2 linked regions of the Ovis aries genome follow. The protein of the gene in region 1 interacts with the protein of each later gene in a pairwise test. Links are inferred from orthologs where the notes say so. Each region holds a gene or a part of one and is shown in the gene's direction. Other genes may lie near its edges. The genes, in order: HNRNPF and HNRNPM.

Region 1 (3,912 bases):
TGTGTGTAATTTGAATATTTGCCTCAGATTAGCTACTTGCATTTTTTCTCCGGAGTCAGACTTTTCTATAGCCTAACCTGTGATGGTGTCATTGGATTTCTTACAAATAACTTATTTGAGTTTTGAAGAACCTGTTTTCTGTAATTGTGCCTCATCAGTTTTCTCTTTATTTTCAAGTCCTCTTGCTTTTACTTTTCTTTTCCCCTTAGAATCAACTTCTGGTGACAAACTGTGCTCCTTCCTTTTCTATAGTAACTACTCATAATGGCAACCCACTACAGTATTCTTGCCTGGAGAATTCCAGGGATAGAAGATCCTGGCGGGCTATGGTCCACAGGATCGCAGAGTTGGACACGACTAAGCAACTAACACTTCACTTTCACTCATAATCGGACCCTATTCCAAGCACCCCCTTATTAACTGGTGGTTTTTAAAATAATCTTCTACTTAGCCAGTGATGAGTGCCTTTATATATTCCTCTTTATGGAAGCTCCAAAAATAAAATAGTAATTATTAACCCCAGAACACATTAAAGAATCTGCTCCACTGCCTGAGGCAGGGTAGCCATTTCAGTTACCGCCTTGCCAGTCAGCTCAGGGGCTCTGACTGAAAACTAATTTTCCTCGGGGTCCTGAAGGCCACCTTTAGCAACCCTGGGGCTTCTAAGCCTAAGAAAGAATCAGTTGAGCAACCCCAGGTCAACTTGCTAATCCCTCTCTAAACCCTGCCCTCGGAGCCGCCTTTATCGGTTTCCGGTGTCCTCGGTTCCCTCTTCAATTCTCAGCAGGAAATAACTCTTTTTTTCTTCTTTTGCCCTGGCCAGGCGTCCTTTGGGCTCAATATTTGGGGGACTCTCCCAGTCAGTATCTATTGCGGCTCAAAAAGTCCCCACTGACCATGCTGTAGAGCTCGCCCCCCGCCCGTACCTCCCGTCTCAGCAGCGCCCCCGCTCCGTACGCCCCTGCCCCGCCCTACTACTAGCCGGCCAATCCCCGGCTCCGCTCCGGGAGCGTCACAATAGCGCCCCCGCGGCTCCGCCCCCGGACGCCCGCCTTGGAGACCCCGCCCCTCCGCGGTCTTTGCGTCTTTCCGGCTCCGTCTTGGAAGTGGGACTGCGCCGCGTCTTGTTGGAGAAGCAGGTGGGATTCTGCGGGGAAACCGGCCAGCTGTTACGCCGGCAGCCGGGAGCGGGGCGGGGGCGTGAGTTCCTGGTGCTCCTGTTCCTGGGTGCTTGGGTGTGGGGCTGAGGAGGGGTAGGGCACTCTGAGAGCTTTAGGGCTTCCGGAAGCGCCGAGTGCGCACAACGGGCGGGGGTTGTGGACTCGGGCCTGCCGCGTGCCTGAACCCGCCCCTCGGGGCCCCCTCGCGGGGCGCGCTGCCAGGGGTTTCCATGGTGATGGTAAACAAGCCTCAACTGCCTCAGTCACAACTGCCAAGTCCCTAGCGTTCCACCCTCCTCTAGGTGCTTAGAGGGACGACCAAGGTGCCGGATGTGAAGAAAAGCGGGGGCGTGGAGACTCGGACCCCGAGGTGAGGGGTGGGACAGGCGGCGTCCGAGGCTCGCCTACCAGGGACCGGCTGGGGACTGAGGCACTTGGCATTGAGGGTCGAGGGACTGAGATTTGGGGGTCAGCGAAGGCGGGATCTGGGGTGAAGGCCCTCACACCCGGGACCGATTGGGGTCTGGGCCTACGGGGGTAGTTGGGGACCGCGGGGCTGAGGTTTGGAGTCGGAGGAAATGGAACTGAGGTCAGGGGCCGTGTATTCGGGGACCGACAGGGTACTGAAAGGGGACCCGGCCCACTGAGGGTGGGGACCGCGGGACTGATTTGGGCTTGGGGGAGGTGGATTTGAGGTCACGGGCCTTATATTCCCGGCACTAGACGGCGGGGCTGAGGTTTGGGCTTTGGGAGGCAGGGAAGGGGAAGGAGAGTCTCGTGCGGACTCCAGAGGGAGCAGAGCCCTAGCGCCCCTGGCAGGAGTAGGGTGGGAAGACCAGGCAACCGCTCTAGGAGGGTCATTTTAAAATGAAAGCGGTACTTGCACGTGGCTGAACGCGTCCGCGAGTTGAACTAGACTGGTTGGGACCTGACTCCTCCCTCCTCCCACGTTCCCGCTCGCCGAGCCTCGACTTTCGAGCGTTGGGGCCTTTTCTTCCTCTCCGTGCAGCTTCTGTGCCCTGAGCCCCGTCTGCATTCGTCTCCTGCTCTTGGAGGTGTCCTGCCTGTATTTTGGTTGAAACTCTGGTTCTCGTTGTCTTGGCCTGGTGACCACACTTCTGGTGAGCTATCTTAATTTGGCCGTTTCTTTTTTCTTGTCGGTACTACTTTTATCTTTGAATGTACTTTGTGCCCGTTCTTGCCTGCGCCCGAGAAACTTCTGGACGCTGCTCGCGCTGCACCTCCCCCTCCCTGTTCCCGTGTGGCTCACGGAAGGCGGCGCCGGGCGGCCCGGGGGAGGCTCCGCGAGTTGCGGGGACCCGACCGGCTTTGGACCCTGGTCTTTTACCTGAACGGTTGGAGGGGCCGTGGGCCTCTCCCCTTTAATATGTACTCTAAAAGGGCTCTCAGAGGTTCCCAACAAATAACTTGAGGCCCTGGAGAGCCGCCGCACCCCCAGCCCCCACCACGCCGGCACCGGCGAGTCCCGCGTCCTTTGGGATGCCCTCGGCAGTTTTCTTCCCCTGGAGGTCCTAAGACGAACGACCATGCTTCACAACTGTGTTTGAGGTTGTGGGGAGAGAGCCTGTCTGCCACTGCGGACGGGTGCTCGGCGGGAGAGCGGCCCGCGAGCGGCCATACGCTGACGGGGGCCGTGCGGCGCGGCCGCTTCCGGGAACCGCCGGCTGCGGGGGGAGGGGCCCAGGCCGCCGGCGTTGGGGGCGGGCCTCGCGTGGTCCGACCCTCGTGGAACTCGGAGGGTTGAAGGCGGCAAATCTTTTAAAAACAGCATCGAAACTATCGATTTTACTCTAATTGTCAGTATTTCAGTCACGTTTTTAAAAGTTGACTTTCTGAATTTCTAGTAAAAATGAAAATAGTTTCGGGTTCTCCGGTCAGATAAAAACCTATTAGGGCCTATCAGTGATGTTTTCAGTGCTAATTTTTAGGCAGTTTTTCTCTTTTCATTTTAAAGTAATTTCTGCACTTAATGAATATTGAGAGAGATCGCTTTATTACGGATGTTAAGCAGGTTCATCCTTTGCCTTGGGGGATCTCATCTTCCTGTGTGCATTCTCTGTAAGTTGATTCGGTTTTTTATTTCCGTTTTACGGTGTCTGTTTTTTAACGTTTATTTTAGTAACGTTCTTTTTGTATTATTTGCTTTTTGTTGCTTTTCTCTTTAACTGGCAAGTGACTGGTTTTCACTTGAGTACTGTTGTTACAGAGCTCCCTTTAAACATAAAATAACTGTAAAATGTGAGTTGATTTGAGGAGAGTTAGTCCTTGTTGTGGCCGAAACTGAGGGAGGGTGTGGAGACAAGGGGTGCGTGCCATTTGGAGTCGGTGCCTGAAGAGACTACAGAAGTGGGAGGGGGCCACCTTCCACAAAGCTGACTTTACCACCAACCTGCCCTCTCCAATCTGAGCTCTGGTTCTCAGATTCTTTGTAGAAACACATTAAGTGATCCTTAACTGGATCCACACACAGAGCTAGGTGTTTTTCCACATTTTCTAATCGCATGCTCATGACCAGTTTGCAGGGAATTATTACTGTGTTGTCATCGTACAGATGTGTCTTAAGGGATATAGGTGGGACCGGGACAAAGGTCTGCCTGACGGCTTGTCTTCTACCAGGGCCCCTGCCCCTAATTAGCTGCCACAAAGGTTCTTGAGGAAGACAGAAAATGGGGCAGAGGGAGAGCCAGGCTCATTCAAGACCAGCCTGGCATAGTAAGATTTTTATTCATAA
Region 2 (3,812 bases), on another chromosome or scaffold:
TTACAGTGAGATTTTCCTCTCTCTTCTCTTGATTAGCTGGATTATAAAGTTGGCTGGAAGAAACTGAAGGAAGTTTTTAGTATGGCTGGTGTGGTGGTCCGAGCAGACATTCTTGAGGATAAAGATGGAAAAAGTCGTGGAATAGGCACTGTTACTTTTGAACAGTCCATTGAAGCCGTGCAAGCTATATGTATCCTTCTTTTGGAATTCGACCTAGTGAATTTAGTTTGGCTTAAGTGTTGTATTAGTAATGCAGGTTTGTGTGGGGAAGTGGTAATGTTGTGTATTAGCATTTCCTGTGTTACTGGAGGATCCTCAGGTGGTGCTAGTGGATCACCTGCCAGTGCAGGAGATGCAAGAGATATGGGTATGATTCTTGGGTCAGGAAGACCCCCTGGAGGAGGCAATAGCAACCCACTCCAGTATTCTTGCCTGGAAAATCCCATGGACAGGGGAGCCTGATGGGCTACAGTCCTTGGCGTCGCAAAGAGTTAGACACAAGTGAGTGTGTATGCACACGTGACTAGAGAGAATACATTACTGTGGATATTACGACAGGAGTCCAATACTGTGTAGATAGAAGCGATGGTTCGAAAATGGGCACATGTCAGTGAGTAGTCTTCTCCAGGGTTTTCTTTTTAGAAGGTCTGATTTGAAGGGAGAGGTAAACCCTTACAGGGCCTGTCTTCTCCAGTGGATTGACATTCTGGAAGAAGCACCTCTCTGACTCTAGGCTGCTCACTCTAGAGTGACCACAGAGAGAATACCACACATGAACACTGATCTTAAACTCTGGTAAGACTGTCACTGAGTATATTACCCAGAAAATATGGTACTTCAAAACATGCTAGAACACCGGGCGTATTGGACACACTAGGAAAACTGATGTCAGCGTTGTTCTTTTCTTTTTGCGGGGCGGTGGCGGGGGAAGGGGGAGTTCATGTAGTACATGGAATCTTAGTTTGCCAAGCAGGGATCGAATCTGCTTCCTTTGCATTGGAAGCATGAAGTTGAACCATTGGACCATGAAGGGAGTCCCTAATGTGAGTGCTTTTTAAGAGGAGAATGGTTTAGTGAGAAGTATAAGGTTTTATGACTGAAGATCCACACCTAAGGAGTAAGCAGAGGTTTCGTTTTATCCCCCTTGAGCCTTGTTTATTGTTGCTTTTATGCTTACTGTAGGAGCAAATACTTGAAAGTATAAGCAGGAATCAAAATTACTCATAAATTCACTACCTAGAAGGACTGGTGGCCGCAGTTGGAGTATTTTTCTTTTGGGTATTTCTTTGCTGCTATGCATGTTTTTAGAATTGCAAGAAATAGCCTTAATTGTAATATCAGCTATGTTCAATGGCCAGCTGCTGTTTGACAGACCAATGCACGTGAAAATGGTAAGTTAATAGGGTCTTTTATTTATTTATTGGCTGTGCTGGATCTTTGTTGCTGCACACTGACTTTCTCTAGTTGCTGGGAGTGAGGGCTACTCTCTGGCTGCGGTGCACAGGCCTTCTCATTGCAGTGGCTTCTCTTATTGTGTAGCACAGGCTCTAGGGCACATGGACTTCAGTAGTTGTGGTTCATGGGCTGAGTTGCTCCGTGGCATATGTTCTTCCTGGACCAGGGATTGAATCCGTGTCCCCTGCATTGGCAGATGGATTCTTAACTGTTGGACTACCAGGGAATTCCAAGGATCTCTTTCTCTTTAATATACTCGAATAAGGTTAGCAAAAACATGGGACTATTTAAGAGTGTACATGCACATAGCCATTGTGCTCTATTTATGGATCAGTCTGAGTCAAAGTCTGCAGTATGTTGAGCAAATTTATGACAAATAACAAATAACTTTCTGCTCATACAACTCTTCAGATATTTTTTCCTTTGCATGATCAGTAGTCACTTGAGTATCCTGCTTGAGCAAGTGGTTGGTTTCAGAGAATGGTTATATACATAGGTTTCCAATTTTCAGAGTATTGGAAGTATGTTTGCTTAGCATCCTATCTGTTGTAAACATAATGAAGTCTGATTCAGAAAGCCTTTAAAGTTCTTTTGGAGCATTTTAGTATAAACAGCTGTGGCTGTGCCAAAGATGCCAAAGATAACAGTATTAATGATTAATACAGGCATGACTGGAATGTGCTGAGGGTCATCTAGTTAGGACTGAAGATCAGGAAGAAAATAGAAGAAACTATTAAGGATTTGTTTTGTTCCTTTTGAGCGTTCAGTTTAGCTTTTTGAATAGATAATTGCTTCATATGATTCACCTGATAGCTCAGTTGGTAAAGAATCCACCTGCAATGCAGGAGACCCTGGTTCAATTCCTGGGTTGGGAAGATCTACTGGAGAGGGGATAGACTACCCACTCCAGTGTTCTTGGGCTTCCCTTGTGGCTCAGCTGGTAAAGAATCCGCTTGCAATGTGGGAGACCTGGGTTGCATCCCTGGCTTGGGAAGATCCCCTGGAGAAGGGAAAGGCTACCCACTCCAATATTCTGGCCTAGAGAATTCCATGGACAGTCCATGGGGTCACCAAGAGTTGGTCACAACTGGGCGACTTTCACTTTCACATGATTCAAAAGTCAGAACACATGAAAAGTTTGAGTGTGAGAGTCTTTCTCTTACTTTGTGTCCAGGTCCCATTCTTCCCCCTCAGTGATGTGAATGTTTATTTTTTATCTTTCCCCCTTTACATGAAAGGTCGCAACTCTCCCATATTCTTTTTTTTTTTCCCCCATATTCTTTTATGTATATTTGGCATGTTCTTCTGTGCCATGGGTGTATCCTCATGTCTCTGATCTGTCCTCTGTTGATAGGAGTTGCTTCCAGCTTTTGCTGTTGCTGGCAGTGCTGCAGGGAATACTGAGATTTATTCACTTTCTCTTTCAGGATGAGAGGGCCTTACCAAAGGGAGATTTTTTCCCTCCTGAGCGTCCACAGCAACTTCCCCGTAAGTGTCTCAATTATTTATGGCTACAATTTTGAATTTAATGTTTTATAACCAGAAAATTACAATTACCTTTGAAGTTGGGATGTCAGTCTTCAGTTATCTAGACTGTTCTTGAGCAAAAGATTCAAAAAGATTATTTTCCTTATAAATTTTTTTGGGGTGAAAAATGAGCAGAGAGACAACGTAGGAAGGGTTGTTAGGATTACATTGCGGTGAGGCAGGCTGCCCAGGACACAGAAGGTGTAGCTGGGAAAAAACAAACTGCAAAAAAATGAAAGCCAGCTTGCACTTGGGTTCAGAAGAGATTGGTTATTACCATATGGCCCAGCAGTCCCACTCTTAGGTATACACTACAAGAGAGCTGAAACCTGATACCCACACAGAAACCTGTACACAGATGTTCATGGCTGCATGGTTTCAGCTGATGAATGGGTGAATAAAACATGGTAAATCTAGACAGTGGACTGTTAGCCGTAAAAAAGAAGTACTGGTAACGTGCTACAGTATGGATGAACTTTGATTCTGTCTATTGGAAATGTCTAGAACAGGCGAGTTCATAAGACAGGTGGATTGTGATTGCCAGGGCCTGGAGAAAGGGTGAAGTTTATGGTGTGTGAAGTATAACAGTCAGAATTTTTATATAGGGTCATTTGTGACATCCAGGTGAAAGTCCATCCTGGGGCAGGGAAGGCATAGGTAGGAAGAGCGGGTAATAGTGAAGTCTTCCCGGGCAGGCCCACAGAAGGGCAGGGAGCCTGAGCACGGGAGCAGTGGAGGGGAGGGACTGTGGTAGCATGAGGGGCCGTGTGTCAGCAGGGCATGCAGGGCTGACCTGTGGAAGGCAGACTGAGGGTAGGGAGAGGGCAAGA

The links.
Region 2: the proteins of HNRNPF (region 1) and HNRNPM interact in binary tests that used the Homo sapiens proteins (3 or more experiments, as listed by UniProt). The two-hybrid records come from large-scale screens. The link is inferred for Ovis aries from reciprocal best matches to the Homo sapiens genes HNRNPF and HNRNPM.

The regions. Positions count from the first base shown.
Region 1 is NC_056078.1:13,149,318-13,153,229, reverse strand, and holds the start of HNRNPF (heterogeneous nuclear ribonucleoprotein F), read left to right. Parts: upstream 1-1,081; 5' UTR 1,082-1,139; exon of another isoform or gene 1,140-1,200; intron 1,201-1,462; 5' UTR 1,463-1,530; intron 1,531-2,125; exon of another isoform or gene 2,126-2,281; intron 2,282-3,135; exon of another isoform or gene 3,136-3,912.
Region 2 is NC_056058.1:14,822,643-14,826,454, forward strand, and holds part of HNRNPM (heterogeneous nuclear ribonucleoprotein M), read left to right. Parts: intron 1-36; coding exon 37-190; intron 191-1,341; coding exon 1,342-1,391; intron 1,392-2,882; coding exon 2,883-2,943; intron 2,944-3,812. UniProt on the Homo sapiens protein: Pre-mRNA binding protein in vivo, binds avidly to poly(G) and poly(U) RNA homopolymers in vitro. Involved in splicing.